4 linked regions of the Caenorhabditis elegans genome follow. The gene in region 3 interacts genetically with the main gene of each other region. Each region holds a gene or a part of one and is shown on either strand. Other genes may lie near its edges.

Evidence for each region.
Region 1: of par-2 (region 3) and mes-4, a change in one rescues a mutant of the other (synthetic rescue), as found in Caenorhabditis elegans (one study listed by BioGRID).
Region 2: of par-2 (region 3) and mes-6, a change in one rescues a mutant of the other (synthetic rescue), as found in Caenorhabditis elegans (one study listed by BioGRID).
Region 4: of par-2 (region 3) and mes-3, a change in one rescues a mutant of the other (synthetic rescue), as found in Caenorhabditis elegans (one study listed by BioGRID).

What each region holds. Positions count from the first base shown.
Region 1 is NC_003283.11:13,432,529-13,439,243, reverse strand, and holds mes-4 (Histone-lysine N-methyltransferase mes-4), read left to right. Parts: upstream 1-1,698; 5' UTR 1,699-1,730; coding exon 1,731-1,746; intron 1,747-1,795; coding exon 1,796-2,062; intron 2,063-2,113; coding exon 2,114-2,370; intron 2,371-2,419; coding exon 2,420-2,994; intron 2,995-3,042; coding exon 3,043-3,346; intron 3,347-3,776; coding exon 3,777-4,127; intron 4,128-4,405; coding exon 4,406-4,807; intron 4,808-4,860; coding exon 4,861-4,992; intron 4,993-5,357; coding exon 5,358-5,510; intron 5,511-5,562; coding exon 5,563-5,802; 3' UTR 5,803-6,194; downstream 6,195-6,715. Other genes in the region: srd-17 (Serpentine Receptor, class D (Delta)), read left to right, coding at 6,530-6,714. UniProt on the Caenorhabditis elegans protein: Histone methyltransferase. Dimethylates 'Lys-36' of histone H3, a specific tag for epigenetic transcriptional activation. Plays a central role in early development and is responsible for all H3 'Lys-36' dimethylation until about the 40-cell stage.
Region 2 is NC_003282.8:8,509,289-8,513,985, reverse strand, and holds mes-6 (Polycomb protein mes-6), read right to left. Parts: upstream 2,703-4,697; 5' UTR 2,550-2,702; coding exon 2,355-2,549; intron 2,301-2,354; coding exon 2,070-2,300; intron 2,030-2,069; coding exon 1,856-2,029; intron 1,812-1,855; coding exon 1,627-1,811; intron 1,444-1,626; coding exon 1,363-1,443; intron 1,285-1,362; coding exon 925-1,284; intron 814-924; coding exon 660-813; 3' UTR 564-659; downstream 1-563. Other genes in the region: cks-1 (Cyclin-dependent kinases regulatory subunit), read right to left, coding at 1-36; C09G4.4 (uncharacterized protein), read right to left, coding at 220-346, 399-453, 509-563; FYVE, RhoGEF and PH domain-containing protein tag-77, read left to right, coding at 3,446-3,587, 4,585-4,697. UniProt on the Caenorhabditis elegans protein: Polycomb group (PcG) protein. PcG proteins act by forming multiprotein complexes, which are required to maintain the transcriptionally repressive state of homeotic genes throughout development.
Region 3 is NC_003281.10:1,079,798-1,084,407, forward strand, and holds the start of par-2 (RING-type domain-containing protein), read left to right. Parts: upstream 1-1,597; 5' UTR 1,598-1,611; coding exon 1,612-1,722; intron 1,723-1,835; coding exon 1,836-1,919; intron 1,920-3,196; coding exon 3,197-3,334; intron 3,335-4,264; coding exon 4,265-4,336; intron 4,337-4,539; coding exon 4,540-4,610. Other genes in the region: Ras-related protein Rab-18, read right to left, coding at 1-109, 161-414, 490-545, 608-684; kbp-4 (KNL (kinetochore null) Binding Protein), read left to right, coding at 1,123-1,312, 1,358-1,461.
Region 4 is NC_003279.8:4,994,843-5,002,877, forward strand, and holds the start of mes-3 (Polycomb protein mes-3), read left to right. Parts: upstream 1-1,996; 5' UTR 1,997-2,001; coding exon 2,002-2,053; intron 2,054-2,674; coding exon 2,675-2,893; intron 2,894-2,953; coding exon 2,954-3,117; intron 3,118-3,168; coding exon 3,169-3,253; intron 3,254-3,799; coding exon 3,800-4,051; intron 4,052-4,098; coding exon 4,099-4,243; intron 4,244-4,550; coding exon 4,551-4,677; intron 4,678-4,729; coding exon 4,730-4,848; intron 4,849-4,947; coding exon 4,948-5,004; intron 5,005-5,394; coding exon 5,395-5,509; intron 5,510-5,558; coding exon 5,559-5,845; intron 5,846-5,891; coding exon 5,892-6,015; intron 6,016-6,712; coding exon 6,713-6,972; intron 6,973-7,019; coding exon 7,020-7,083; intron 7,084-7,313; coding exon 7,314-7,508; 3' UTR 7,509-8,035. UniProt on the Caenorhabditis elegans protein: Component of a Polycomb group (PcG) complex. PcG proteins act by forming multiprotein complexes, which are required to maintain the transcriptionally repressive state of homeotic genes throughout development.

The sequences.
Region 1 (6,715 bases), on a different chromosome or scaffold from region 3:
TGATGGAGACAACTTCTGGGCCGCTAGGCATCCAATTTTGATCATTTTTGGATGCCTATCGGCCCAAAAGTTGTCTTAATCAACGAATTTCCGCGAGATAAATTACTAAAATAAGGATTAAAGGGTGATAATTTCAGAAAAACAGAAATTCAGCAGCTGTGACAAAGAAAAGTGTGCGAAATTTTAGATTTTAGCAAAGTTTGGCTCTTTTTTTTTCGAAAATTTGACCGGCCATAAAAATGTTTGGAAATTTTTTGTGAAGTCTCATTATGAAATTCGGTGGTTTTGGACCAGTTTTAGTCTATTTAAGCAAAATACCCACAAACTGTACTCCCCCTTTAATGTACACGCCTTGAAACATATTGGTGCATTTTCAGACAATTTTCGAGTCAAGCCAAAATTGTTGCAGAAATTTTCCAAATGCTCGAGCAAAAAGCTTCAAGAAATCTCAAAAATGGAACAATCTGCGTAGAAACTTTACTATTTGCATGATCTTTATGTTTCGTCGGATACACGAAAATTATGAAAATATGGTTTTTGACAAAAAACAACAAAGCCAAAAATGCAGAAAAAAACGACATAATGCCGTCATAATGTCGGCATTATGCCGTTATGCCGGTCATTTTATTTTTCGGCATAACGGCATTTTCGGCATATGCCGTGAATTTTCAAATCGGCATAACGGCATATGCCGTGCTCCAAAAACCGGCATTATGCCGGCATCGGCATATGCCGAATGCCGAATGCCGCACAGGTATGGCGAGAATGATGTGAATATAGGAGACCCGAAGAACTCGGGGGATGTCCAATTGGGGGGATTACCAACTCGGGGGATTGGCCCCGCCCACAGAACCGTGGCTTGCAATACGCCCATTTCTGCAACTGCCGCACGGTTTTAAAATTATTTTTTCTTGTTATTTCTCGTTCTATTGAGAAAAATACAGTTTTAAAACCGTGCGGCAGTTGCAGAAATGGGCGTATTGCATGCCACGGTTCTGTGGGCGGGGCCAATCCCCCGAGTTGGTAATCCCCCCAATTGGACATCCCCCGAGTTCTTCGGGTCTCCTTATTTACATAATCAAATTTGCAGCAATTTTTTGGGATTTTGCAAGCGATTTTCTTTGCATTTCCCGTGATTTCGAACCTTCTTGGCATATTTTTTAAAAGGAATGTTCATAGTTTGCGGAAAACGGAAATTCAAATTTCTCGCGGTCTGAGGCGTCCATAGTGCAGTTTCTTCGCCTTTTTTCTATCAAAATTCAAAAGTAGGTGGGGCCTGCAGTTTTTCGCTTTTTCATTGCTCAGCTTGAAATTTTGCAGCCTCTGATTCGTTGGAAACGCCCAATTTTTTGAAACTGACCAATTGCGAAGCGAAAAACTCCCTCGTTTTCCCCTCTCACTGTAGACGCCTCGGACCGCGGGAAATTCCCGTTTTCCGCAGCCTATGGACGCACAATTATAAATTTTTTTCTTAAGAATCTCCATTAATCACCGTTTTGATAGTTTTCCGCTGTTTTCCTTTAAAAATGCATATATTTCTCAAAAACTAAACAATTCGCGCTTCCGTCATTTTGGAGTATCGTTGTAAGGCGCGACTTTCGAATGTGTCCTCGATCAGCTTGAATAACGTCTCATTTTCTGTTTTTCTTTTATTAATACTTGTCAAAAAGTCGATTCATATTCTAATTTCATTTTCAGAGTTGCTTACTTCTCGCGCTTGGTGCCAAATTATGCTGCCGAGCTCTGGTGAGTTTAAATAATCGAAAATCAGGTCGAAAAATGCATCGAATTCCAGGTGACTCCAGCAAAGAGAACTGTGCTCCACAGGACGGTATCGTTGAGAAAGAAGGACCAAATAAACCTTTTAAAAAGAAGAACGTTAAACAACGGAATGCTACTCCACAAGGCGCGGGTTCCGAAACCTCATCCAATGCAGAAGACAAGCAAGAAGAAGCACCGATTCTAACGAATGCTCCCAAAGACATTATTTCGATGCAAATACAGGAAACGAAGGCATTTCTTAGTGAATATGAGGAGTTCGTTGACACAGATTATCCAAAAAGTATTTTCATTAATTAATTCCAGGCAGTCCATTAAATTTTCAATTTTCCAGCTACCTTCACCCACGTGCCACGAAAGTTTCTGAGTGTTTCGCCATTCACCCCGATTGAAGCCGACGCGGAAGGAGAGTTTCTTCCAGATGCTGACTCAAAATGCGTGATTTGCCACGAAGAGAAGGATAAAACCGGAAAATCTGATTTGATCACATGTCATGGATACATCAATGGAGAAATGGACGACGGCAAGCGTCTCTTGGGAAATATACCAATGTTTCCTTGTCGTAGTAAATTTCACGCGAGTTGTATGATCGTAAGCTATTCGATTATTTTTCTTCATCAAATATCGTGTAAACTTTTAGAATTACAACAGTGGCGGCTTTCACTTTCAATATGCAGCCCGACTCGAATGCCAAGCAAGACTTCTGTGCCCTCTTCATTGCTGCAATAGTTGCAATTTGGACCATCACAAGCAATCGGCTTATGTTGGAGATATTGCAGAATGTGCTCTCTGTCTCCGCGCTTTCCATTTGACGTCGTGTTATCCATCAGGTGGCCGAGATTTGAATGTTTCGATAACAATTGGTGGGAAAGTGGAGAAGTTCGAAATGATAATTTGTCCAGCACACTATCTACCTGGTGCTGATGTTCAATTCTACAATAAACATAAAAAAAGAAAAAACGCCGTCACTGTTGTTCCGAAAGCGGATGTTACAATGAAATCCCATATCAAAGCGTGTTGCGTAATTGGATGTGAGAAATCTTCGAATTCAAAAACAATCATGTGCAAGACTTGTTGCCGATCGTTTCATTCTGGATGTCGAGAAGTGGAAACGCTGAATGGAAAACCGATACCAGACGATCAATGCGAATCGTGTGTTTGTGGAGATCCGATTCCGCAAAATACATTGATTCTCGCGAAGTGGACGGACAATTCGTGCGTTTATAATATCAGAATTATCAAATTCATGTATTTTCTATTCAGATTCTGGCTAGCATTAACACTCGATTGGTACAAGTACCCTACTGGAAATCGTGGTAATATCAACTTTGAACGTCTTGGATATACTGTTGTCCAGTGGCTGATACCCCAAGAAAATGATAAAGAGAAACAACCTCTCATGTCAATTGTGCCGGTCTCGGATATCGCCCGTCTTACCAAGAATTACTTTTCGTTGGCAAAGAATTCGACGCTTAGAAACTTGTGGGAAGAGAAATATGAGGAACAAGCAGATACTGCGTTGAAGAGATGCCCGTACGTGTGTAAAACTGTATTTGGAAGACTGAGAGTGAGTATTCTACTGATTCTTCAGGAAATATCTAATTCGGACTATGGTTTTGTATTTTTCAACGGTTTGGAAAAAGGCTTTTATTCAGCTAAAATTGCGGAACCGACGAAAGTTAATATCTCAACCAACGGAACATTACTTTTAAAAAATTAAAAAAACAAAAAAGTTCTGAAATTTGTCAGATCTGCAATATTTGAGATTTTAGCTGAAAAAATGTCATTTTTTTCCAAAATTTTGAACCGTCTAACTTCTTTTTGGAGGAAAATGAGAATGTCTCATTACGAAATTTGGTAGTTTTAGACCATTTTGGGACAAAAGTGCAAACAGTGCTGCAGAAAAATTCAGCTAAAAATTGCCGAAAAACTTAACAATTATTTTCTTACTTTTAACCGATTCAGATTTATTTATAGCAATTTCTTCATAATTCCAGACATCTGTGTACTACAAATGCGAACCAAAACTGGAAGAGTATCACAACAACGAAGTTTGCAATTGTGAAGGAGCTGACCGCTGTACAAAGCTGTCGTGTCAATATCTCGCCGATGATTATGAATGTCCCCCGAGTTGTTCGAAAAAGGGCGTTTGTCATAATCGTCAAGTTTCCATGGGAATAGTTAGCGAGAAAATCAAACTGGCAGCCACTTTGTGTAAAGGATACGGTGTCTTTGCGAAAGGTCAAATCGAAAAAGACGAATACATATGCGAGTACGTTGGAGAAATAATCGATAAAGCTGAAAAGAAGAGGCGCTTGGATTCGGTTTCAATTTCGCGAGATTTCCAGGTAAGGAAAAAGTTTTTTTGCGATAAAAACACGAATTTTTACTTTTTCTTTTAACCGAATTTTAGAACAAAACGTTCTGAAATTTTCTCAAAAAAAAGTTACGGCGATTCAAAGTTTTGGGAAAATGCCTATTTCCAGCTAAAATTTTATATTTTGCCAATTGTCATTTTCAGAAAAAAATACGAAATTTGGTAGATTTGGGCTATTTAGGTCTAAGAAGCAAAATATCAGAGTTAAGTTATCAACGTATAACTTTCCAAATACTCTTTTTTTTCAAGGCGAACCATTATATGATGGAATTGCACAAAGGATTAACCGTGGACGCTGCCAGATACGGTAACATCTCCAGATACATCAATCATTCTTGCGATCCCAACGCTGCATCTTTCGTTACAAAAGTGTTCGTTAAGAAAACCAAAGAAGGCAGTTTATATGATACTCGCAGTTATATTCGGGCAATTCGCACTATTGACGACGGCGACGAGATCACGTTCAGTTACAATATGAACAATGAGGAGAACTTACCAGACTGTGAATGTGGAGCTGAAAACTGTATGGGTACAATGGGAAAAGCGAAACGCGAGAAACCGGAAGTGGCTGATAGTTCCGAGAAAGCTGCTAAAAAGAACAAATCGTCCAAGAAGAAATCTGTAAAAAATCAGAATAGAAAGAGCCAGGAGGTACCAACTTTTTTTCTAAGTTTCAACATTTTGATTTTATTTCTTATTTTCAGGCCGGAAAGAACGGAACCGCATCTAAGAAATCAGAAATTTCTCCTTCGAAACCATCCACAAGCTCCGCGTCGAGCACTTCCTTCGTCCAACAAGCATCATGGCCAATTTCCCAGAATAAGAAAAATTTAAAGGTATTTTTTGGAGATTAAATCGATCAATTGCTGCCAGCAATGATGTCGGTTTTTCGATTTTTCACTAAAATCGAAAATGTTCGTTTTCACGAAAAATATCTTTCAAAAATTTTGTAATTGTTCTTCTTTTTAGAGAGAAATTTAAAAAAATGTTTTCTTATTTTATTCATCAACATAAACATAATTTGATTTTAAAAAAAAAGAACTTTATGGTTAATTTTTAAAACATTTTTTTCGAGTTTTTTCGGAAATAGAAAATTTTAATTATTCGATTTTTGATGGCACCCTTGGTTGCTAGAGTTAACTTGGTCTAAATCGAATTTTCAATTCAGGTACATAGCCATTAAACATAATTTGTTTTTCAGAAGAATTCCAATCAACCTGTAGCCGACACCGGATCAACATTGAGTACATCTACAGAGTTGAATTTCCACGAAAAACCGCAAGAACTCTTGAGCCCTGTTTCATCGCGATCGCGCGCAGCTTCATCTTCAACACCACGGGCACAAAAATCAAAGGTACGATAATCATATTAGTATTAATATCGATTATATTCGATTATATTCACAGAGCCGTCGAGATGATGTGGAAAGTGAAGCGCCACCTGTGAAACGAGCTACGCCATCATTGCAAACAATTCAAGAAACCGGAAAAGCGATAGAGTTTCCTGCAACCAAGTCGGCTATCACAAAAGCACGAGCGTTGTCGACACAATCAGTTCCATCACCTCATACTGTGGAGGTCAAAGTTAGAGCAATATCTACTCGTGGACGAGTTCAAAAAGAGACAAAACGGTTTGAACCGATTTGAAAAGTGAAATAATATGCTGTCTCGCCCAATTGAACTCTTTCCAATAGTCTTCCAAGTACTAAATTATGATTTTACTTCAATTAGTTTCAATCAACAGTGCCCTCATTCTTTTTAATCGTACTATGAGTTTTTCCTGGACTGTCGACACAATTTTTGGAAACGCTGAAATTCATTTGACCAACGTTCAAAGAATAACGAAGACTTTCCTATTCATCTTTTTTGAAAATTATTTTCACACTAAACTAGGGGTTTTATTATTGCTTTAACCATTGCTTTCATTCACTTGTCATTTTTTTTTCCCTATGTGTTCTTTCGTTCTTGTTACTGCGTCCCATCATATCGATAAATACGACTTTTTTTTCTCATCTGTAATAAATACCTTTGCAAATTACAAAACAGAGTTAAGCGCTGCTTTATGACGATAAAGAGAAACTGGAGAAGATTAAGAAGAACACAATGGAACGACTTGTTTTGAAAAAAGACATTGGAGTCGATGAATCACTGCTAAAGATTTTGATTCGGAAGTAAAAAAATGCACATTATTGAGAAACCACGTGTCATTTAATTTCCCTATGCACAATAACAAAGGATCTTCGGATAGACTTCTTGAAAGAAGACTGAAACCATTTGAGCGGAAGCGATAATTCATTCATTAATTATTTTATGTTCGCTTGTTATACGACAAAATTCTAAAAATTTCAGTCTTGCACCATTTGCCAATTCAATAATGCACGCGTTCTTTGAAATATGGCACTGTATATGGGCTTTACTTGGATGCTCATTCAATTTAATGCTCATTTACATGGCTATCTATAAATCACCGAAGACAATTCGTTCGTATGCAACTTTGATTATCAATTTTGCTGTTACCGACTTTTTCGAGTGTGCTTTGGATTTGTTCATCCAAATTCGG
Region 2 (4,697 bases), on a different chromosome or scaffold from region 3:
GTTTGAATAGTAGAAATCATTGTTTCCAGTTGTCATTTTGTTGGTTGGCGTGAGAAGGTGCGACTCTGAAATAATTCATTTTATTAACAAGCATCGGGAAATAGAAACGGACAAAAATAAGGAAAGAATAAAAAATATTGAAAAAAAAGAGAAGAATGGGAATGAGACAAGAGTGAGAATGGTGAGGAACACTGCATGTACAGACAAATCGATAAATGCTCATTGCTGACGCTGTCTGAATTGATCGATAACATCAACAGAGTCGAGTTTCCCGCGTGTTTCAAAATACTCGTCCTTTGACATTGGAATTTGACAGTGCTTGGTTGACCCAGCAGAGGAAGATGATCTGAAATAAAAAAGGTAATAACATGAAAGCTAATAAAATTTTCAAAACTCACTGAACATTCAAAAACGTCTTCTTTTTGTCACTTTGTAAGTTGCTGTCGACTGTCACTGAATTAGAAAAATTAGATAATCAGAAAACGAAAATAATCTCTTCGAAACTCACACATAAAGCTATGTTTAGGTGAAGAATAATCCTTAGAGGAGGTTGGGGATGACATTAGGAACTGCAAAATTGTAATGTAAAATCCACTGAAGATGATCGAAGATGAAATCACAACGAGATATAAAAAATTGAAGGTGAGAAGGAATGATATTCAAAATTTTGCCAGGTCCTTAGCGTCGACAGACGCAGATACACGATCAAATCGACAAACAAATCCTTCGTCAGTTACTAGTACTAGGAATCGGCCACATGTAGAGAAAGAAGCTTGCCGAACTGTACGTGAGCCAACGGAACAAGTGTGAGTCCTGTAAAAAAAAAAACAGGAATTTATACTGGTAATCACAGCAAAAATATTTCTATAATTTTTAAGAGATATCGAACATCTCAGAAATTATTTTTCTTGATATTTTACTTACGGATTGGTTTCTTCATTATTTCTCAAATCGAAAAACATCACAGAACCACCAGCTCCACCGCACACCAGCCATCGTCTTCTTGGATCAACGGCGAATTTGATAAACCATGCAGAACCACTCGGAACATTCATTGTACGAAATTTCGTTGTACACGACTTTGGACGGAGAACATTTCCATGAATGCGATTTTCAACTTCTCCCTTAGGTGGCCCAAATCTCCAAAAATGAATTGCCTTTTCATTGCCACATCCTTTTGATAGTGCGTAGTTAGTACCGATAAGAAATCGAATGCAATCCACATAATCAGAATGCATATCAGTTGATACGGAGGATGGAGTATAAATTGGAAGAAGGCAGCTCCTGAAAAAGAAGAAAACGATAGAACCAGATTCGTTGAAACAACTTTAAAAAAGTAATGGATGCCGAAAATCAACGTACGGTCGGGGTATGAGCTCTCTGTGAAGTTCGAGCAATTGATCTTCTTCTTTGTCGGGAATGTTGCGAGAAACTGCAGACTTTCTAAAAATACAAAAATGAATTACATTATGATTTGATAGCCCTGGTCTCTTTATTTACCAGTCTTTTATCCAAAACTCAAGTTTCAAAAATATTTTTATATACAACAACAGCAACAATTTTCGCGTTAAGGACTGATCAAATACTAGAAGGAACTAGAAAATGTTAGCTGAATAATTGATTTACCTCATTGTTCCTTTCGAAACATACGGAATATCTTGTGATTGTGTTAGCACATTTATTTTATCTTGGTGAAGAGCTTTGCACGCTCGTTCCAAATGTTCCTTTACTTGTTTCACAGATAAATCCCACTCCATGAGTTGATGATCGAATCCACACGATAAAATGAAGTCTCCGTCGGTTGACCAATCCTAAAATGAGAAATTCGAAACGTAAGTAAATTTAATAAACCAACCACAGAAAGAATTGTTCCAGCATGACACTCGAGACCCCCAATAACAATCAGACATGCTTCGTTTCGAATATGATGAATCCGGATAGATTGATCTGATGAAGCACAGACAATCAGATTTGAGTTGGCAGGACACGTACGAATGTCATTGATTTCCCATCCAACACTCCGAAGACGCTAAAACTCCAAATTATTTCAGTAATTTTTGATTATTTACATTCGACAGCTTCCTCGAGACGTAGTCGATAACGTAAATGTGACCCAAAGTTCCACCCGTTACAACTTTAAAGGGATTTCGGTCGTTTTCAGCTTCATATGTGTCGTAACACCAGGTAACAGTGAAGAGCGACTCCTCTCGTTCGACCTTTGATGATTTATCGGTAGGAAAATTACAAGACCACTGCAGCTCAATGTTATTTATGTCGATGGGAACAGAATACATGTGAAGCTGAAAAACAAATATTTATACCTCATTGTCAGTTTCCTGCTAAATAACGCTTACAAAGCTTCCTCCGACAGTTGCAACCGCTTGTTCCTCATCTATTCCTGCGTATTGATTGAATGCACATCCGTAAATAGCTTTCTTCTGATCTTCAAGTAGCTTGGCAGTTAGTACAAAAGGTCGTTTTCCGTAATCCTCTGTACTTCGATCAAACCCGTGAAGATTTAATGATTTGAACTTTTTCGTGTGCTCCATTCAGGTTTTTGGGAAAAAGGCAAGAAACAATATATAACAAAATAAAAACTTCACAGTAAAAACATAAAAAAGTCGATTAACTATCAAATTTGCAGTGAAAAAGGAAAAAAATGACAATAAAAACAACAGAAAAACTAAAATATGGCCGCTCGCGCGCATTTCTCGTTCAAATTGCATTAGTGGTGAAAAGCGCGGCGAGACCCAACGAGCGCATAACCTCATGCACCTTTAAAGTGTTATTTTTTTATTACAATTTTTTGTTCTCATTTTGGATTCTGTTCGAAAGTTCCGGGAGGTATTTGTGATTTCGATTGGGAATATGATAGAAAAGACAGTTGCCAGCTTAAATTTTGTATTGTCGTGAAGTACCACTTCCAATTTCGGAGTGGATTCGAACGGGATTAAGTAGATTTTGTACTCGGCTTTTTTCGCAAGGAGCGAAACTAATAATTTTGTATATTTTTTTTGTATGATCCTATATTGCTACGTGAGCTATTGTCAGTTAAAAAAAATGTTTTTGTGGTCTTTTTCAGATTTCAGAGCGATCAACTTGGGGGTATTCATTCATATTTATTATTTAGTAAAATTGTCCTTATATCAAAAGATCCACTTTGTGAATTCCGTAGACTTCTTTCATTTTTGCTATTTCGAATTTGTCTTCGTCGGCTGCTGACTCATCCATATCCCTGCGTCTCCAATGCCTGATTCTCTGCGTCTTGTGTGATTTTTTGTTGCTTCAACCTGTTCTTCTAGCGGTTGCCTTTTTCTCATGCTGTGACTGTTCCCGTTCATTACTAATTCTTAATTTCATAATATTTTAGTGTTATCGTTTTTTCTTCAATTTTTTAGCCAAAATGTTATCTCGAACGAGCTATAGTTATTTTCAGATCGCCTGTATGAAATATGACATGAACCATCGCAAAAATTCTGATGATACTCCACCGGCGTCTAGGACCGTCAAAGAAATGATGGCAGAGTTTCAAAATAAACTGGACGACGGAGACAACAGATTCCGGAAGCAACCACCACCGCCACCTTGTGAGTCTGAAACAGAGAAGACGTCTTGTATTTACTGTCGACAATTGATTGAGGCGTAGCAAAAAACTTCGTTTGCTTTGTTATCTGTGGAGAAAATAAAAGTTACGAAATTTCTTGAAAAAAAAAACTAAAAAATAATTTTTTTAAAAACTATTTATGTCTGTATTTATTGATAATAACTAAATAGATCATATGATCATAGTATTGAAAAAGAGAGAACCGAAAATCGGGTTGACAATGATTCTGTGAGTTAAAAAAAACAGTCAATTTTTCGAAAAAAAAATCTGCCTTAAACTCCACCAACAGTGAATCGAATTAATTTTTAAAGGAAATTAAGTTCTCATTTCAATTTATATATTCGTTGTTAGAATCTAGACGAAAATTCATAAATATTTTGTTACTATCATTTTTTTTTCTATTAACTTTTACAATATCGTAGAACAACTGATTTCCGTGTTAAAATTGTTTTTTGACTGTTCTTCTTCCTATTGCTTTTTGTTAACGAAAAATGCCCAATTTTCTTCAAAGTTCCTATCAAATCTGTACAGACGCGTGACCGATTGCGAAAGTAGTCAAAAAGAAGTATAAAGGCTTTTCGCAATATTGTTTGCCTAAAGGTGCCACTTGACAGATTTTACTCCTTTGTCGCCAAGAAGTGTACTAGTAATAAATTTTAGAAAATTGGGTTGTGTCCTTATATTAATTACTTGGATTATCGCCAACATTTGATTAAAATAGTCATTCTTGTGTGAACACTTGCCAAAAATATATTCACTATTTAACTTCTGTTGGTATTATTGTTCCACCCCCCGGAAGTGACCAATTTTCCGTCTGCCACTGTGTGTGCCTAGTGGTATGACTCATTTATTGAAAGAAAAACAATTATTTTATCATCTCTCAAAATGAGTGAAGCAGATACAATTACAGCAATTAGATAGTTTAAATATACCTATGAGGTTAACAGATTGGAAGATTCATTTTTAAAACAATTTTGCAGCCCCAAGACGAGCTCCACCACCGCCTCCTCATCGGAAACCTGCATCATTATCTCCACCTCCAGACGATGAGAATACAATTCGACCGCCGTCTTCTTCAGAATCGTCCGAAAAT
Region 3 (4,610 bases):
CAAATGTGCACTGTACACCCTCCTTAGTCTTCGCAGAAGCTTCAATGAATAGTGTGCGGTGGCGTTTTGCGAATTTTAGGCCTTCCTCGCGGGTTACCACTCGATTTGGCTGAAAATTATTTTTTAGGCCAAAAATCGAACAAAATCGGCTTTTTCGCACCATATCAATCTTGTTCGCGACCATCATCTTGATAATATTGTCATTTGTGCAATAAGTATCGACTTCTTGCATCCAATGATTCAATTTCTCGAAGGAGCTGCGGCTAGTGACGTCATACACGCAAATTACGCCCTGTGCTCCACGATAATAGCTCGGCGTGAGGGTACGGAACCTCTCCTGGCCGGCGGTGTCCCAAATTGCGAGTTTTACACGATTTCCGTCGATTGCCATTGAAGTTACGCGGAAATCCACGCCTAAAAAACAATAAATTTAGGGTTTTTTTGGCCTAAAAATCAAAAAATCCAAAAATCCCTGGAATTTCCACGAACCTATCGTTGCAGCCTGCTCAGGATCGAAGACATCGTCCACGAATCGTAGCATTAAGCTGAAAATTTTTGAATTTAAATTGATTTTTTTAAATTTTTTTTGGGCGAGAAAACCCCTCACCTCGACTTCCCTACGCCACTTTCGCCGATAATCAGGATTTTGAGAGTTGTGAGGGGGCTTGAACTGTCGTCGGACATCTGGAATTCGTAAAAACGAAGGGAAAATGCAGGATAATTTTTTTTTTGTTGGGAAATTTACGTTTTTAAGGATAAAAGATAAAAAACTCGATTTTTCAGGGTATTTTCCCCATTTTAAGTTAATTTTTTAACACTTTTAAATAGATTTTTCACCTTAAAACCCAAAAATTTGCCGAAAAATCAATAAATTTCCCTTCGAAAATGTCAGATGTCGTTGCACGAGACGCTCTTTCGGAAAAGAGAGCGATGGAGCGCACTTGCACTTGGCACGATGCCAAGTGCCTGTCGTGGTGAGACCCGATGGCGCGAAAATGGATTTGTTTGAAATTTGTTTTTTTGTTTTTTTAATTTTTAAACGTTTTTCGTGTTTTTTATTTTTATTTTTTTTGTTTTTTATAATTTTTCCAAATTTTTATCAGTTTTCAGCAATCAAAAAAAATGCAAAAATCAATCGACGACATGATCAACGAAGTTCTCGCGGTAAAAGTCGAAAAACTGCCGAAAACCCAAGATTTTTCGGATCTCCAAGAAGTTTGCGCCTCCAAACTGCAGATAATTAACAAGGAAATGGACGAGGCCGATCGGAAGCTGGAGGAGACGCTCGAGAAGCGAAAATTGGTGGAAAAACGTGAGAAATTTAGTGAATTTTCACAATAATTTTCCCATTTCCTAGAACTCGAAGACCTCCAGGAGCAGTATAAAGTCAAGGAATTCGCGTTTTCTCTTCAAAAAGAGTTTCAGGATGAGCTGAAGAAGGTCGCCGAGGAAATTTTCTAACAATTTTCATTATTTCTGTACATATAAAGTTCTGTATTCCTTAACCCCGTTGTTTTTCCCAGTTTTCTGTACTTTTCATGCATTTTATACTTATTTTTCAGCGTTTTTCAATGATTTTTCAGGCTCAAAATCCTCATTTTCAGCCCAAAAATGACGGATTTAGACACTTCATCCGCTCAAATACGGGCTTCGCAGAGCGATTTATCGATTGCCAACTCATCGCCACGTCTGCTGGAGTCCAACGCAACTACTTCTACAGCGGTAAAATCGGATTTTTAGCGGCGAAAAAAATCGAAAAAACGCATTTTTTGCTGGAAAATAAGCAGAAAATCGTGTTTTTCGCCCTGGAAACCGCCTAAAAACACAATTTTCAGTGCATCAACGACGTTCAACAGCCGGTTCGACGCGATTTGAGCTCGGAACTCCTCTGTCCACTGTGTGATCAGCTTTTCGACAGGGTTAGAACATGGAAATACCGAGGATTTCAAGAAAAATTGCGTGAAAAATGGCGGATTTTCCATTAAAAATCGCTTAATTTTACCCATTTTTGACCCAAAAATGTGCAATTTTCGTCTTTTTCCAGCTATAAATGTGAAAAATCGGGGAAAAATGCGAAATTTTCTCATAAAAACTTGAAATTCCGAAAATTGTCTTGTTTTTGCCCATTTTTCCAGATTTTCAGCCAAAAATCACGATTTTTTGGGGATTTTTAGCTAGAAAACCGCATTTTTTCCGATTTTTAGCATAATAATCACAGATTTTCTCGGATTTTTACAGTTTTTTGCCGATTTTTACGATTTTTAGACTAAAAACTTTGGATTTTTAAGATTTTCAGCACAAAAACCCCAGTTTTTCTCGGATTTTTACAGTTTTTAGCTTAAAAACCACAATTTTTCAGATTTTTTTCGATTTTCAGCTCAGAAACCCCAGTTTTTCTCGGATTTTTACAGATTTTAGCTTAAAATTTTGGATTTTTCCGATTTTTAGCCCTAAAAACCCCAATTTTGCCGGATTTTTTCGGTTTTTAGCCAAAAAACTCCAGTTTTTCCCATATTTTAACGATTTTTAGCTCGAAACCCACAATTTTTCCGGACTTTTACAATTTTTAGCCCAAAAAACCCCAATTTTTTCGGATTTTTCTGATTTTAGCTCAAAAATAACCGATTTTTTTCGGATTTTTCTGATTTTAGCTCAAAAATAACCGATTTTTTTCGATTTTCAGCTCAAAAACCTCCCATTTTTCCAGATTTTTCCAATTTTTTGCTCAAAAAACTTCAATATTTTAAGATTTTTTTCAATTTTCAGCCGAAAAATCCAAATTTTTCCGGATTTTTACAATTTTAACCCAAAAATCACACCGATTTCTGCCGATTTTTACACAATTTTTAGCTCAAAAATCACCGATTTTTCCCAGGATTTTCCCGATTTTTAACCCAAAAATCTCGGTTTCTCAGGATTTTTACAATTTTTAGCCCAAAAACTACACAGTTTTCTCCCGTTTTTTTACGTTTTTCATCTCAAAAATCACCCATTTTCCCAGATTTTTAGCTCAAGAAACCCCAGTTTTTCAGCGGAGTTTTCCGATTTTTAGCCCAAAAACCATCAATTTTCCCGGATTTTTCCAATTTTTATGTCAAAAATCCCAGTTTTCCGCCGATTTTTTCGATTTTCAGCCGAAAAACCCCATTTCTACCCTAATTTTTACAATTTTCAGCCAATTTTTCCAAATTTTCAGCCCGTAATGGTAACATGTGGGCACTCGTACTGTGAGCCGTGCATCGAACGACATACACGTGATACGAGAGCCTGTGTAATCTGTAAACTCGACGTTGGACCATTTGCAGCGATGATTCCCAGCATTACACTTGATAATGTACGACGGATTTTGATGCGAAATTCGGATTTTTCGACAGTTTTTACCCCGGAAAACCGTGGATTTTTACCTTAAAATCGCATTTGTCAGCCAAAAAACTCTAATTTTAGTCCGAAAAAACGATTTTTCACGGCAAAAACTACAAAAATACGCTTAAAAACCCGATTTTTTCCTCAAAATTTTGAATTTTGTGACTAAAAATTGCATTTTCAGCCATAAAAAGCATAGTTTTGGCTTAAAATTCAATTTTCGAAAGTTTTTAGCCTTAAAGGCCGAGATTTTGACTTAAAAATCACATTTTCCCGTGGAAAACTTGATATTTTTCAGCCAAAAAAACCACAAAAATACATTTTTCAACTTATAAATTATGCATTTTCGGTCAAAAATCCGATTTTTCCTTGAAAATCTTGCCGAAAATTCAGAAAAATGTTGACTTTTACATCTAAAATTTCTTGATTTTCGTTGGTTTTTACACTGAAAAACCGGAATTTTGACCTAAAAATAAACTTTTTCATAGGAAAACCTAAAAAATTATGAATTTTTGGGTTAAAATTCTCCATTTTCAGGGTAAAAATCTGTTGGAAGCCCTGAAAATTTTGATTTTGAAGCTATTTTTCGCATTTTTCGCAGAAAAACTCAATTTTAATCTCAAAATCCCGATTTTCCAGCTAAAAATCCCAAATTTTTGCATTTTTTCGCCGAAAAACTTAATTTTAGTCAAAAAAAATTGCGATTTTCTTGCAAAAATATCAATTTTTTGCAATTTTTACCTTGAAAACCCAGTTTTAATCTCAAAATCCCGATTTTTCAGTTAAAAATCCAAAATTTTTGCAATTTTTAGCTCAAAAACCCAATTTTCTAGCTAAAATCTCAAATTTTTGCATTTTTTCGCAGAAAAATACCAAAACATTCAACGAATTTTCGTTTCAGATGGTCCGAAAATTGAAAAACCAGGAGAATATCGAGAGCAGCTACGACGATTTGTTCATTTGTGAGGAAAAGGTTGAGTTTTTGCAGGAAAATGCGAATTTTCAGGGTTTTTGAGTGAAAAAATCATGAAAATTAGGTGTTTTTGACCCCAAAAGTCGGGTTTTTTCACCATTTTCAGTTGAAAAATCGTGGTTTTCCACTTTTTTTAAAGCTTAAAAACCCCCGATTTTCCCAATTTTTACCCCCTAAAAACCCGGATTTTTCACTATTTTCAGCTCCAAAAAGCGCCAACACCACCAATTTCGGAGGAAATTCCGGCTCAAAAAATGACGAGAAGCCTGTCACA
Region 4 (8,035 bases), on a different chromosome or scaffold from region 3:
GTTTTGCTAGAATTTCGTTCAGTAATCATTTTCTAGTGTTAATTTATTCTGTGAATCCATTTGGCAAGTTTTTAAAATATGTCTTCAAAAGAGTACGGTAGTTTTTTATTTAATTCGCAGTGTTTTTTTATTTTTATTTTTAATAGTAGATGAGAAGAAACATCAAAAATTGTGCTTCCAAGAGTCGACAGTCAAAATTCGTTAATCTAATTTGAATTTCGCGCGAAAATGTTTCAAATGATTCTCGGCCGTGTACTCCTCTCGGACAATTAATAAATTGTTTAATTTTGGATGTTTGTAGAGGTTTTTCGTGTTTTCTCATGATTTTACGGGAATCCTTTTGATTTTTTTGGTTAAAAACAAATTATTGGTGGTCTATGAATGCATTTTTCACTGTAAAATAGTGGAAACCGCCGTTATCCTCTTGAGAAAGTTCTAAAGTTCCATAAATTGTTCAGTTTCGCGGTTTTTCATTGAATAATTTGTAATTATTGTTTTTCGAACGTACAATTATCAAAAGAAAATCACGAAAAATCGCCAAATATTCCAAAATTCGATCGAATGGAGGTTTATTCTTCATTCCCTTCAAAATAGATTTATAATAATCTCTTGTTCGAACACTCCCTCTTCCCGCAGCGAAAGTGTAATAAAATGTCCAATAATCTAGCTAGATCTAGTTCAATAACTCATCAATTATATTGCCCTTTGATGTAGTTTTATAATGTCATAAAGTGCACACTTCTAAGAGTGGGCAGCTAAAAAATGCACTTGTTGCTCTTTTTTTCGCACCCTTCATACTTTTTTGGATCGATTTCTTTCATTTGATATTCATAATGACCTAATGTTTCCGCTGTACACTGTATCTGCACTCACGTGATGGGTCTCGCCACGGTAATAATATTACAAAATGATTTTGCCTATGCGTCTTTGAGTTTACTGTAGAAAATTAGTAATACATTTTTCAGCTCTACTTCTTTCTTCGCAGATTATTTTTCTGTGAGAACAAGAATACACAATTTATCCATTTCCATTCAATGAAAATGTATGACAGCGTGATTTCGATAAATCAACAATTGAATCCTTTTTCTTTAAACTTATAACTTCAATTGACATATTTTTAATTTCATTGTAAAACTTGGAATATAATTTCGTTGGTTTCAGTCTCTCATCCGTTCCAAATTATAATTCCAAACTCTCGAACGCGGAGACATGCGCACGCTCCTCTTCCTTTCCCTCGAGTAGGCGTCGCTCCTTCTCTTTTATTGATTTGTCGTGCTCTCCGCTCTTGTTTGAACGCGACCAATATGACTCATTTTTTTAATATTTAAAGTTTTTAAGCACATGCATAGTGCATTGCTCGCTTTCTACCTCTACGCGTTGTTCATGGCTCTAAAAACAAAGAGCGTACATTTTTTGAAATTCTATTTAAATAAATAAAATTATTATTGAGAATTCATCCGAAATATCTGTGAAATATCAAGCCAAACATATTTTTTATAATCCTAAAGTTAATAAAATTAAAATAAAGTATAGTCATTTTGTAAATTTGCTCAAAATGACAGAAAATGGACCGTAATAACCAAATATAGATGTTAAACATGCATAGAACTTTTCTAAATTTTTTTTTTAATTTTGCAAAAAGGTTCTTACGGTACATTTTTAATCAACCATTAAGTTTTACAAATCTTCATAGGTATAATTTTTTAATGAACAAATTGTTTGACTGGCAATAACCACGCATTCCTTCATTCGATTCCTTATCGAACCAGCCGTCTGTCTGAATATGATGTGAATTTCTTTTTTATTCTGCGTCTCCTCAATTGACATACTCTCTACTCAGTTTCCCAGAACGAAGTCTCTCTCATCTGACATTATATCTTTTTTGCGCTGTTCGTTTCACATTTTTCTTTCTCTCTCTCTCTCTGATTGGCGATTTCGAGATAAATCGATAATCTCGATCTTTGCTAAACTATTTTAAAACACAAAAAATCATTGCAGGGTATGACTCCGGCGACGGCAGAGGTGAAAGTTGGAGGGAGAAAACGGAAGAATGGTTAGTTGGAGAATAGGACATTTACTGGAATTTACAAAAATCAAATTCTTAAAATCAATTTTTAATTAATTTTGAAACATAAATCCCAATCGCGCCGAGACCCGCGTATTCTAACACAACGCTCACCTTTAAAAATAGTTAATTTTTTATTCGAGAAACTCGGCCTGAAACTTTTTATTTAACTTCTTGTTTAAATTGTAATTTAAACTATTATAATTAAAGTTTTTCCTGTTTTCTTAATTTTTCCACCAGTGAAAATTATTTTCGGCAATTCTACAAAATTACCTATTGTGCCATTTTGTTCCATCATATTTTATTACAAAACAGTGTCAAAAAATAGAAAATTACTTGAATTATCTAAAAATAACATTTATTTAAGCTGAAAAAATTTGAAAAATTGTTCAAAAATGGCTTGAAATTCGATGTTTCGTTTAATCAGCAATTGGCAACTCTCAGGCCATTTTTGAACACTTTCCCAAAATTTTATGCTAAAATAAATGAAATAAATGTTATTTTCAGATCAATAAAGTAATTGTCTATAGTTTGAAATTAATTTTTTTTCTGTCAAATTATAGTAATTTTTAGCATTTTTGAATTAATACTTTAAGCTTATTTTTGCAGATGAGCCGGTTTTTATCAAGACAAAACAATCGAGGTCAGCTCGTCGAGAAGAAGAAAAAGAAAATCTTTTGAACAAATCTCTTCCGTCAACTCCAACTTCATCAGAGGCCGGAAGTTCTCGGGAATCTTCAAATCCAGTCACAAGCTCCAGTAGACGAAAGAATCCACCTACCAAATTAGAAAATATTCAAAAAACGTTGCCGACTTGCAGTGACGGACGTTAGTTTTAAAAATCATTAATTAAAATCTCAATTTTTCTATTAATTCACATTTTTTCAGTTGAAATTCGCAATTATGTGAAAAAATATGGATTGCCGGAAGATAACAAGTTTCTCGTTCGTAATGTCTTCGACAAACAATTATTATTTGGAAAGAAATATGTGTGTAGAAGGCGTGTGATTAAAAGCATCGATGAATTTTTCCCGCGACTAAAGACCGATGCGGTTTGTTTGAATTTTTGATGGATTCATTTGCAAAATAAATTTTTCTTTCAGCACAGAGAAAATGGTTTATATAATTTCTGTACTCTACAATTCATGAAAATATCCTCCTGGGGAAGTTCGATGGATGAGAAGATTTGTTAGTTTATTTTTGAAAATTTTGAAAAATTTGAAACGAAATCTCGATAAAAACACTTAATTCGAAAAAGACCAACAGAAAATCACTTTGAACTAAAAATATCTATTCAATATTGATTGAAACCATATTTCACAAGAAATAAAAGTCTTTTTGAAATTTGGTTTTAAAAAAAATTATTTTTTTAATTAAAAAAGTCAAAAAAAATTGAAAAGTTCTGATTTGCATTATAAAACAAAAAATGAATTAAACTCAATAAATATATAGCCAGAAAACGCGAAAATGTCGGAATTCGCTTTTTTTTTCAGTTTTTGCAATTTCCTAAAATCACACAAAATTTATAAAAATTATTTTTTTCCTATAGTTTAAAGCAAATTTAATGATTTTGAAATGTTTGAGGTTTTTTTTCAAAAAGTAAGAACAATATTTCCAAAAAAATGAAATTATTTTCTAATTGTAAATTAAGATTCAAAAATACACACACACATAGTTTTTTTCGGTTTTAAAATTATTTTCTCATTAATTCATTAAAAAAAAGAACATTTTCAGATGTTACTTCTGCTGCAATTGTTCAAAGCTACGTGATAATTGTCGACGATAATGATTCAGTCACCTGCATTGAAAATGGAATCTCAGTTATTCCAATGGCGAATAGAACGTTACCATCTATCTCCTATAACAGTTCAAATGTAAAAAATATCACTTTGACGGGCCCTGAACTGAAAAAGGCAAAAAACGTATATCTCGCAGTGATTGTGAAACGAAAAACACCAAAACTTGGAGAAAATCGAGTTGGGACAAGTGAGTGAAATCATTTCTTTTTTTTAAATAAAAAGTTTCTTTTGTAGGAGGAAAATCAACTCGAGCATCATTCGAAACGGCTGCTTCCTCAGAAAACTTTCAGCAACTTGTTCGTTTTGGGTGCACTTTGATGTATGATAAGGATGCTGAAATTAACTGCCTAAATGACGGAGTTCAACGTATTATCTTACTGTAAGTCGCTTTAAAATTATAAATGCAAAAATTTAAAAACTTAAAAATTCAAAAAAAATTAAAATACTTTAAAAGTTTTTTTTTCCAAAATTTATCCGAAGGTGAATCTATAAAATTAAACTGGCCTGCTAATTTTTTAAAAAGGGGGTTTTCTGAAGATTTTGAGCGAAAACTGTTGTCAAAATAAATAAAAAACTGAAAAACATTTTTTTTCGAGAAACACGCGCTCAAATTGACGGGTATACGGTAGAAAATATTTTTTCAAAAAAAATTGTATAATGAAAAATATTGCTCTTGATTTTTCCAGTGATCGAGAAGAAAAGCCAGCGTATTTGAAAATTTTCGGGAAGGCCGATGAACCGGAACTCGAGAATGCTTGGATGAATAATGTTAAGCATTTGGAGTTTATAAGCGATACAAATTATAACAAAGAGGTAACGATGAAGAGTTAATAAACTTTTATAAATAATTGATTTTTTTCTACAGGATTCTCATCTCGCTCGTCTAATCTTCTCTTCAAATACTCATAATTATTTCGATAGACCGGACATTTCAAAATTCTCTCCATGGCAGCCGCGATCCAGAAGGACGACACTAAAATCTGGGTGAGAAATTCGATTTTTTCTCTTTTTTTAATTTTGTTTTTATCTGGTTTTTGCACGACCGTAATCCCGCACGCTTATTGTGTTTTCCATCATTTTCAGAATCTCCGTCGAGCCAGGAACGAGTTGCGATGAGGATTGTGGATCGCAATATGAAGAGTTCGTTTTTGATCCCTACCACCTGATTTTTTGTTTGAATATCTAATTTTTAAATCACTAAGTTTGCTGGATTTTTTCCCTTACAGAATTTCTAATTTCGGGTGCATTTCTTCTTTTTTCTTAGTTGGCTGTAATTGATACCTTCCAAATAGCTTGTCGTGATTTTTGAAAACCGTGAAGCTGCATTTCAGAATTTTTGAGTTAAAACTGGGGGGTTTTGTCCAAAATTACAGAAGGCAATCTGCATACACCGGATAGAACTTCAAAAAAAATCATCTAAATTTTATAGTTAATCACTCACTACATTGGATATTCGCGGAACTTCATGTTTCTATCCAACCATAGATCATCTAACTGTTCTTCAAAATTGTTTAGAAAATATAATTACAGTACAATCACTCTCAAGCAGTTACTCCTTGGAACGAAAAAGCTATGCGGAAGACGTAAGAGACATTTGACCCGACTCACTTCAAGATGGCCGTGTTTTTCAGTCGATCCGACGAAGGTAATTCTTAAAAAACTATAATTTCAAAGCTTAAGTGCAATTATTTCAGATCAATTCATATTTCAATGAAACTGGTGTCACTTTGCTGGAAAATTCGTGTTCCTACCGTCCTGGAACTCAACGAAGCATTCCAATAAAACCTACCCGAGTGATCAGAGTTAGAGAAGAAACTCCAGTTTCCGTTCCAATTGAGGTTATTACGATTGAAGATGATTCAGATGATTCACCATGTTTTTCTGCGAGAAATCGAGCACCAGGTGGAACACGGAAATATGGATTAGATTTTATACAATCTTCGGGTCATATGCCATATATTCGTTATGTTTATATGAACAGGTAATTTGATTTAATGCAATCCAGTAAAAAAATATATGATTTGCAGAGCAAATGACTTAGTGCCCCAGCTGAATGGCGAAGAAAATGGAAAAATCGAAGGTCTTATGGAAGCATATCCGATGAATAATGCTCACATGTATTCAGATATTGAGTTCCTGAGAAAAGAAAAAGTAAGAATTGTTTTTAAAAAAAAGACATAAAAGTTGTAATAATTTTCGCTTTTTTCACTAAAATCGAAAATGGAATTTTTTGTTTCGATTTACTGATTTTTGCAAAAATAAAACAAAACTTTAAGATTTTTCTTTTTTCCGATATTTCGAAAAAATTGCATAATTTGTTTTCTTTTTAGAAGCAATTTGTATGTATTTCTGAAAAAGCGAACAAAATTGTTTCCTGAAGGCGAAATCTATTTTTCCCTCAAAAACCCAAAAAAAAAAAAAAAAGTGAGAAAGGAAAAATTGAGAACCTTTCATTATATTTTTTGAATTTTTTGAATTGACTCCAAAAACAGGAAAAAAAAAACAAAAAATCCCAGCCTTGATTACGATATTAAAAATTTTCTATTGTGACATGTTGCTCCAACAATTTGTATTTAAAATTAATGTCAAAATATAGAAAAACACTCGAATTATCTGGAAATAACATTTATTCTGGCTGAAAATTTTGAAAAAGTACTCAAAAAATGTCCTGGAAGTTGCTGATTGCCAATTATCGAATTATTGAATTTCAGGTAATTTTGAACACTTTCTCGAATGTTTTAGTTGAAAAAAAGTTATTTTCAGATAATTCTAGTGATTCCTGCACTGAACACTAAAAAAAACTTGTCGCCGCAAACAAAAAAAATTAAAGCAAAATTACAAATTTCAGTTGAATCTTCCGAAGAATGCTCAAAAATATGGCGAAATGACAATTCTTGACTATCCACTAACGAAGACGGAAACGGACGAATATAATAAAAAGATGTCTGTGATGAATGTCAAAGATTTTGCGGTTAAACCCAGAAAACCTATTCCAACAGTCGGAAATACCACTTTAAGTTTGGATTTGGAAGGATGTCCTATATCGACATTTTCAGAAATATTCTTCCCAAGTGGAAAAACTGAACTATTCAATATTCTATGCAGACAGTAAGTGTTATAATATTAAGTCATATATTAAAACCCAATTTTTGAAGTTTCTACTCTGAAGCTGGACAACGCCCTGGATGCTTCTCAGCACAATGGAAATCTAGAGTTTTGGTGAGTTTATTGAACATTCAGGACTAGATTGGCAAACGTACGGAATTGCTTAGTACAGTATTTTTGAATCAAAACCTTTAAACTTCTTTTCAACGAAAATGAAAATTATTTTCAGAGTCTTTGATTCTACAAAAAATGAATTAGCGTACTAAAATAAGCATCTCAACACTTTTGCCAAGATTTGCCTTAACTTAGAACGCATTTTTGAATTTTTCATAAATAATTTTCAGACTGGCTTCATCAACAAATACCATCAGTACATTTTCGACATGAAATTGAATTCTTTATTCGAGAAACAAATAAATCTCATCGCTATGGTCAGCCCTGACTGGAAATTAGAAGATTTTGAATTGCCCATGGTTCGATATAAGCAATTGAAAAAAGAATGGAAAAATCGCCAACGAGATATACCATCTTCTAATTAGATTATCCCCTTTTTTCCTTGTATCTTTTTCTTTTTGGAAATCCTGTGTTTAATCTCTTTTCCATTTATCAATCAACTATACCAAATCGTGGTGGGTGGCAATTCTACTAAATGACATTAAAAATTAGTCTGAAAACATAGAAAATAATTTGATTCTTCTGCAAATAACATTTGTTTCAGTTGAAACACTTGAAAAAATGATTAAAAATTACCTGGAAGTTGGAAATTGTCGAATTTTGCTATTCGGCAATTGGAAACTTTCAGACTATTTTTGTGCAATTTTCAAATCTTTCAGCTGAAATAAATGTTATTTTCATATTTTTAAATAAATTAATTTTCTATTTTGAGACTAATTTTTAATGAACAATATTGGCCAATTTATGGAATTGCCAAAAGTAATTTCCACCCACCGCTGATCCCAAAAATACTACAATTTTTAGCACCTTTTGACCCAAAGAACGTCGTACTTCAATGATCTTCCAGATTACACGAGTCATCACTAAGTTTTTCTTCATTTCTTTTTCTTTC